Oryzias latipes: one gene and its partner. The main gene of each other region encodes a partner of the protein of the gene in region 2 in a complex. Links are inferred from orthologs where the notes say so. Each region holds a gene or a part of one and is shown on either strand. Other genes may lie near its edges. The genes, in order: sost and lrp6.

Evidence for each region.
Region 1: the proteins of lrp6 (region 2) and sost are in contact, whole or in part, in a crystal structure (PDB 6L6R), measured with the Homo sapiens proteins. The link is inferred for Oryzias latipes from reciprocal best matches to the Homo sapiens genes LRP6 and SOST. Residues at the interface, in NP_001401174.1 of Homo sapiens: Arg28, Asp52, Val70, Ser71, Glu73, Leu95, Ser96, Asp98, Glu115, Arg141, Trp157, Trp183, Asn185, Ala201, His226, Phe228, Trp242, Met269, Arg336, His361, Asp379, His404, Asp406, Thr422, Glu447, Arg449, Trp465, Trp491, Asn493, His534; in NP_079513.1 of Homo sapiens: Leu115, Pro116, Asn117, Ala118, Ile119, Gly120, Arg121, Arg169, Thr171, Arg172, His174, Asn175, Gln176, Ser177.

The regions. Positions count from the first base shown.
Region 1 is NC_019877.2:17,915,325-17,919,683, reverse strand, and holds the start of sost (sclerostin), read right to left. Parts: upstream 2,809-4,359; 5' UTR 2,479-2,808; coding exon 2,229-2,478; intron 318-2,228; coding exon 1-317. UniProt on the Homo sapiens protein: Negative regulator of bone growth that acts through inhibition of Wnt signaling and bone formation.
Region 2 is NC_019881.2:23,646,916-23,650,721, forward strand, and holds part of lrp6 (low-density lipoprotein receptor-related protein 6), read right to left. Parts: intron 2,665-3,806; coding exon 2,530-2,664; intron 2,276-2,529; coding exon 1,879-2,275; intron 1,685-1,878; coding exon 1,513-1,684; intron 1-1,512. UniProt on the Homo sapiens protein: Component of the Wnt-Fzd-LRP5-LRP6 complex that triggers beta-catenin signaling through inducing aggregation of receptor-ligand complexes into ribosome-sized signalosomes.

The DNA of each region.
Region 1 (4,359 bases), on a different chromosome or scaffold from region 2:
CTTGGCTTCCGATTGGTTGTGGTGAGGCCTGAAGCGCTTGCACTTACAGGAGGTCACCACCCGGATTTTGTAAGTCCGAGTGTTGCCGTTGGGACACTGCAGCTGGACCCTCCGTGCGCGGGAGTGCGCCGGGACACAGCGGTAATCTGAAGCGCTGCTCCTCCACCACTTTCCACGGATGATTGAGTTCGGCATGAGGTAAGCGGGAAGGCACTGACCCGAGCACACCAGCTCCTTGACAGGCTTGGCGCTGCGGCAGGATCCGTCGGTAATGTAGCGGGTGGAGCGCAGCTCCCTGCAGCTCAGCTCTGAAGCACCTGGGGGGGGGAGAGAGCGCAGTTAATGCACATGGACTGAACCCAAAAGAAACACAGAGGGGGACCATCAATCTGTGGGTCAACTGCTTCTTTACAGCAGCTGGGTCTCCTTCCAGTCATTTGTCCGGTTCTATTTCTATCAACTGAAAAAAAAAAAAAAATCCAACACATTCAACTGAAATCCAGACCTGAAATATCGACAAATAAACAAACAAAATCAGGTCTATTTGACTCAAATCATTTTTACTTGATAAAGAAGGGCAACTGGCAGCAATAAGCAAATAACAAATCCAGACCAGAAGGCCATTAAACACACCAATCAAAGCAAACTGAGGTTTGGCTTGGATGAAAAAGCTGGCATCCTGCACCGGACCTCAGGAAGTGTTTGCGGTGACGGAGGACTAAATGACAGTCTGGTTGTTTTAGAGCAGCACAACTTGGACATCAGCCCGGCAGATTGGAGACACTCAGCTTGTAATCCTGCATTTTCAACAGGCAGGAATCACTGCCTAGTGTTTCTTTACAGGCTGTGTGCACAAAATAAAAAGGAGGAATTGTTGGTTAAGAAATGACACACTCAGAAAGGGATCTGTTTTCCTTTGTGGCCTTCCTTGCCAAAAATAAAGACCCGAACAAAGGATGGATGTGAGGTGACTTTCCTGTTTTTTGTTGGGTTTTTTCTAACCAGTAGAATATGATCTGGTGTTTTTCTCCATCGACTGCTGCAAGGACCAGAGCAGTTTCAAAAAAGATCCCTTGGCAGCACTTTGCAACAAATACCTGTCAGGTGGTTTTGTCACATCACCGCCTTTCTCCAACCGCACGGTTGCTATTCTCCTCTCAAACAAAGGCGGCCTGATGTACGGTTGCGTGAGTGGATTTTTGTTCTCCCACCCCCCTCGGCAGTGAAAGATGAGCCTAGGGAGAGGATTGGAGTGAAGCCAGGCTGTGGTCTCAAAGCCTGTGCTGTGACCCCACAAAGATCAGGGAGGAGCTGTCCCGACCAAAAGCCACACGATGGAAATAATCTGAGAGCTTTTTCTCCACCAAGCCCAACATGTGCTGCATATTCCTAAACAACAACCTGTTGAAATCAACTCATCTTTTCATCTTGAAATTCAAGAATTGCTCTCACTTTAGTGAAATCAGTTTTCCTGTTAATATAATCAATCATACTATTTGTTAGGGGGGGAAAAATGACCCCACCCCCCCATCTTAAATCACATTATCCGGCCTTCTCAATCATAACATGCTGGGAATACTGTCCAAAGGTGGGAATCCTTCTCAAATGATTGTACTTTAAAAGCTATTTAAAAAACCCTCCTAAAGACAACCCCCCCCCCCCCCCCCCCCCCGAAAAAAAAGACAGCAAACTGCAGGGCTTTGGGAAACATGTTGTTGCAATCAAATGGTTATGGCGTAAGTAGGGCTTGACTAATAGTATAAAGACAGAAGGAAACAACCTGGGAAGGGGGGGGGGGGGGGGGGTACAGAATTGGGGAAGGAACCACAAGAATGTGCATCTGATCATCCCCCCCCCCCCCCCCCCCATCAGTGTATTTAACAATACACACTCTCACACACATCAGCTCCTATACTGAAAGGGAAGCAGGTTGAATTTGGAAATGACAAAAAGCCAGTCTGCTGGACAGCCTTGAGTCTAATCCTGGCAATCAATTTAAAAATATTTATTCAGTTATTTAGAGATTTGATAGACTAAAAAAGTTGAATTTCTTTAAGTAGTTTTTTAAAGTGTTTTGTTAAAAATCTGTCTTTTAAGAGGAAAAATATTTGTTTAGAATTGCGGATTGGATTAGTAATCACCCATGTGCTTATCTTCACCACATTTTTCTACAAAGTTTGCCCAAATAGGTAATTGATGTAATATTTAAATATTAAAAGGACACTTACTATATGAAACTGTGTTTGCAGTCCTTCCACCGTTTTTCGCCCTGTTATTCAAAGTGTTGTTACTGTTGTTGTTGTTCTTGTTGGCTGCGTGCAGAATGGCCTCGTGCGGCGCGCCCGTGTTTTGCCCATAGTCCGGTAAAAGCTCGGTAGCATCATTCCTGATTCCCCGCCATCCCTTGGCGGCTGCGCAGCATCCCTGCAGCAGCAGCAGCGCCGAGCTGCAGAGCAGCAGCGCCGCGAACACCTGCATGCTTGTCGGGGCACAGATGGACCTCAACACAGGAGTAAATTTTTACAGAAAATGCAGACGGGAAAAATGTAAATAAATAAAAGCAAAAATACAGGAACGCGCAGGAACGGAGGAGTCCTTCTCCAAAGCGAGACGCGCTATTTAAAGCCAACTTTGCGGTCAGAGCGCACAATTACGCGCTGACACGGAGTGGGAGGAGTCGAACCTGGATGAGGGATTCATTGTGAATGGGGGGAGAGAGGAAGGTAGACATGAAAAAGAGTGAAGGAATGAGACCATGAAGGTCAGAGAAGATGAAAAGAGGAGGTGAGAGGAGTGGAAACGAGAGTTGTGGTGGAGTGACAGAGAGGAGAGCTGACTTAATCCAAGTGACGCAATTAGTGCGCACATAAGTGTTGGGGGGGGGGGGTGCAGCAACTATACTATGACGACTTTCTGAAGGCATCTTTCCTAGGGAGGGAAAAGGGGGTGTAGGAATCAGATCCTGTATGTTTGAGGAAAGGACCACACTCAAATGAATTATTCATGACGTGTGAATGACCCTTCATCAGCGACTCTCAGCATCATCAGGACTGTCTGCATGAATAGAAAATACATCACCAAGTGTCTGTTTACCAAATCTGAGTTTAGCAGAGGCTTTTCACGAGAATCTGATATTCTATATCTCCATATCTGTTTGGAATTTGTGAATTAAAGCTGCTTGGCAGCCCTCACGCCCCTGTGATGTGATGCCTGCTGACAGATGGAGGCTATCTCATTCAAACACTGCCCTCTTGAGGGAGAGCCTTGGGAAGGACATTCAGGCTCGTTAGCATCACTCTGCTGTTTTGCAAGGCAGTCCAGGACAAAACTTGATCAATCATAAGGTTCTAAAGTTCTGACTTTTAAAAAGGGAAGTTTGAGTTTATTCATGTCATGGATTAAATTCTGTCTCAAAAGGATGAGCCAAAAATCAGCTTGTAATGTTAGTAATGAATGATTAGGATCAATCAACAGGAAATCCCCCTCTTCGGAACCACTCCATAAGTGTCAGGTCCAATTCCTGTTCATGAAGTACAGGAAAAGTAATTAGGCTTCAGTTTGAAAGCCAGAGTTTATGGAAAATCCTCCCTGATTTTATCAAACAAACAATGCTAATATGTTAGTGAATCATACTCTGTTCAAAAACAAAAAGTGAGCGGAAAAATCTCTGTAATACACTGGAAATCTGGTTAACACCAACCTTTTTTATGGTTAGAATCCCATGTTGATGTTGTTCTTATTTCGTTTTGTCCAGAAGAACAAACATCCACTGACCCATCCATCTTTTTAACCCGCTGAACCCCTTTTAGGGTCGCTGAAGCCTGGATACTGTTAAGGCCACATTCAGCGATAAGAATCTAAAATAAAAAATGTTTTTTTAAAGACCCATAAAACTGTATATATTCAAAAATACTTTGCTCTCCAACATTGATCTTATTTCTCCTAGTGATTTCTAAAATACTGTAATGTCTTCTTACATCAATATTATGTACATCATTTTGTAATTTGATTTTATTATTGCTCAAGGTTTTTTTAATGATCTGCAATTTGGTATATCAGAAATTCAGAACTGGATAAAGATAACTTGTGTAAAAAAGAAAAAAGAAAAAGTTAGGTTAAACATAATCAGAGTGGGGTTGTATAATTTACTTCCTTTCACTCTCTTTCAAGCAATAAATGATACCTCTTTTGAAAAACACAATATTTAATGGTTTCAGTGTGTCATTTACAGAGTGTTTAAGAGTTAATAGGTCTATAATTAAGTAAGAGTAAACCAAATATACGAATTGGGCCTATTATATCAAAACCGGATTGGTTGAGACCTCGGTTAACAACGACCGCCATTGGTGCTGTTCACCA
Region 2 (3,806 bases):
CACGCCCCTTTCATCTGGATCATTAACACCTGGTCGGTGGGCGGAGATCTGACCCTTAACCTCCTGCTCCTACCTGGAGACTCATTAGAAGGTTCTCTTTCCAGTTCAGATTTGAACTTTTTGAATCATTTTTCTGCTGTGCAGCATCCTGGATGACTATTCTGTCAACAATGAACAGACTCCTGGTGTCGACGGACGGCTACCAACAGGAATGTGTTTGGAATGACAGACGTTCATCCAGCTGGTGGTCACATGACTGCAGCTGCTTTGACTTTTCCACAAAAACACTTGGAGAAAATCTCCAGAAGTGAGAAGCAGCGGCAGAAAAAGTTGCGAGGCGCTCTGACAAAAACGCGTCTGTGCTGGGAGGGGCCTGGTGACCCCGGTCCCCTGTAATCACCTGAACACGCCAGGAATGAAAACACCTGCATTCCTGACGGTATCGGGCTCCAGCGGGCGACAGCCTCAGACCCAGAGCTGGCGGTCTGATCTGATCGGAGCTGAAGCACAGCCAGCCATGAAAAATGTCAGGAATCTGCAGAAGAGACCAGCCAGGCCTGGAATCGGCACGGCCCCCGTTCCCCATCCGCGCCGCGTGGAGCTGCGCCATTGGCTGCCGCCAGGACGGCCCCGTGTGGTCGCCCCCACCCTGAAAGCATCAGGAAGGCGGTGGGTAAATCTAAGACGCAGTTTCCATCCCGGGAGCTTCAGCCAGAAGGTCTCCGCTGGTTTGGACGCGGACCGCAGGGCGGCTTTCACATTCTGGTCTAAACAGGGCCCACCGCAGCTGCAGCGCACGCCGCAATCAGAACCAGATGTGGGCCTTCACCAGGAGAACTGGGTCCGCTGAGGAACAGAGGGGGGAGGAGGCCAGCAGAGGCCCCTCTGACGGGGGCCAAAGAAGGGGCCCTGCAGCCCCCGGAGGGAAGCCGAGCGGTAAAACCAGGAGCAGCAAACTGTCAGACCCGACTCACTATAGACGTGGTCCACATTCAGACAGAACCTCTGCTGACCCGCTCCAGTTTGGGACTGAAACTGTTCTGTACCGTTTGAGAGCAAACAAGAGAAACGGGTTTTTGAAGGACGGAGGAGAGAACCCAGGGATCGGAGAACCCAGGGATCAGAGAACCCAGGGATCGGAGAACCCAGGGATCGGAGAACCCAGGGATCGGAGAACCCAGGGGTCGGAGAACAGGGGTCGGAGAACCCAGGGATCGGAGAACCCAGGGATCGGAGAACCCAGGGATCGGAGAACCCAGGGATCGGAGAACCCAGGGATCGGAGAACAGGGGTCGGAGAACCCAGGGATCGGAGAACCCAGGGATCGGAGAAGCGTTCCAAAAACCTTCAGAACTTCCTGAGGCCTGAGCAGCGTTCCCAGCTACTAGAACCTGTTTAGTTGTTTCTCTCTCAGAACTCCACACCCGTCCTTCATTTCTGTCTCACCCTCAGGTGTGAGAGCCAGCGTGGGCGTTACCTGGACCTGAGCGGGCCGGCAGAGCGACGTCTCACCTCGATCTTGTCCGTCTTGGCGTCCCCCCAGTACATCCTCCCTTCGTGGTAGTCGAGCGCGAGGCCGTTGGGCCAGCCCAGGGAGGTGTTCACCATCACCACCCGCTCCATCCCGTCCAGATCGGCCCGCTCGATCTTCGGCACCTCGCCCCAGTCGGTCCAGTACATGTATCTGTGACACAGAACCGGGCTGCCTCAGATCCTCACATCATTGAAACTGGTTTTGCTTTAAAATGTCCCTCCAAACGACGAAACACTTTGGTTGTTCACCATCTGACCTAAAGGAGAACATCTGCCCTGCTTCATCGCCGACAGTAAAACTCTGACCCACATCAAAGCCAGACCCCATCCAAGTCTTGGACTCACCCAGCCACAGGGTCCAGAACGATGGCTCTGGGCTCGTCCAGGTCCTCGGAGATCAAGATCTTGCGCATGGTGCCGTTAAGACGAGTCACCTCGATGCGGTCGGTCCCGGTGTCGGTCCAGTACAGGTTCCGGGCGATCCAGTCCACCGCGATGCCGTCAGGATGGCTCACCTGAGACGTGACGATAAACTGGGCGTCGCTGCCGTCCAGCCGCGAGCGACGGATGGCCTTCACATCGTCATCCGTCCAGTACAGGTAACCCTCCACGGGGTCGTAGTCGATGGCGATGGCGTGACGGATGTCTTCCACCTGCAGCACCACGTCCGTAAAGTCTGGCGTGTCCAGAGAGATCTGCCGCAGGTCGGTCCGCCGAGCCAGCAGCAGCATCTGGGTCGCACCTGGGGAGGTGGAGGAGGACGGCGACAAGGAGGCGGCAGAGGAAGAGGAGGAGGTCAGCTGTCAACAAGAAAACGCTCCAAATGTGGAGATTTAAACACAAATGTTTCAGCCTTTGACCCAAATGAGAGTTTGGGTCAAACAGAACCCAGTAGCAGAACATCCATGAAACCACAAACAACCTGTGGGTCAAACGATTAGCACAAACATTTCAATCGACCCCCCCACACACACAGAGAAGATGACCCCCCCTCACCGTCTCTGCAGGTCCTCCCGTCCTCCAGCAGCTGCACGCCGGTGGGACAGGCGCACCGGAAGAAGGGGCTGGACGGCGCCAGCAGGCACAGGTGGGAGCATCCGCCATTGTCCCGGGAGCAGGGACTGTTGACCGCTGCAGACACAGACCCCCCCCACATCACTCGGCTGCAGACACAGACCCCCCCCACATCACTCGGCTGCAGACACAGACCCCCCCACGTCACTCGGCTGCAGACACAGACCCCCCCACGTCACTCGGCTGCAGACACAGACCCCCCCACGTCACTCGGCTGCAGACACAGACCCCCCCACGTCACTCGGCTGCAGACACAGACCCCCCCACGTCACTCGGCTGCAGACACAGACCCCCCCACGTCACTCGGCTGCAGACACAGACCCCCCCCACATCACTCGGCTGCAGACACAGACCCCCCCCACATCACTCGGCTGCAGACACAGACCCCCCCACGTCACTCGGCTGCAGACACAGACCCCCCCCACGTCACTCGGCTGCAGACACAGACCCCCCCACGTCACTCGGCTGCAGACACAGACCCCCCCCACGTCACTCGGCTGCAGACACAGACCCCCCCACGTCACTCGGCTGCAGACACAGACCCCCCCCCACGTCACTCGGCTGCAGACACAGACCCCCCCCCACGTCACTCGGCTGCAGACACAGACCCCCCCATGTCACTCGGCTGCAGACACAGACCCCCCCCACATCACTCGGCTGCAGACACAGACCCCCCCCCACATCACTCGGCTGCAGACACAGACCCCCCCACGTCACTCGGCTGCAGACACAGACCCCCCCACATCACTCGGCTGCAGACACAGACCCCCCCCCACATCACTCGGCTGCAGACACAGACCCCCCCACGTCACTCGGCTGCAGACACAGACCCCCCCACGTCACTCGGCTGCAGACACAGACCCCCCCACGTCACTCGGCTGCAGACACAGACCCCCCCACGTCACTCGGCTGCAGACACAGACCCCCCCCACGTCACTCGGCTGCAGACACAGACCCCCCCACGTCACTCGGCTGCAGACACAGACCCCCCCACGTTACACGGCTGCAGACACAGACCCCCCCACGTCACTCGGCTGCAGACACAGACCCCCCCCACGTCACTCGGCTGCAGACACAGACCCCCCCACGTCACTCGGCTGCAGACACAGACCCCCCCACGTCACTCGGCTGCAGACACAGACCCCCCCCATGTTACACGGCCCCTCCTGCTGGGAGCATTTCACAGACCCTCTCCTCAG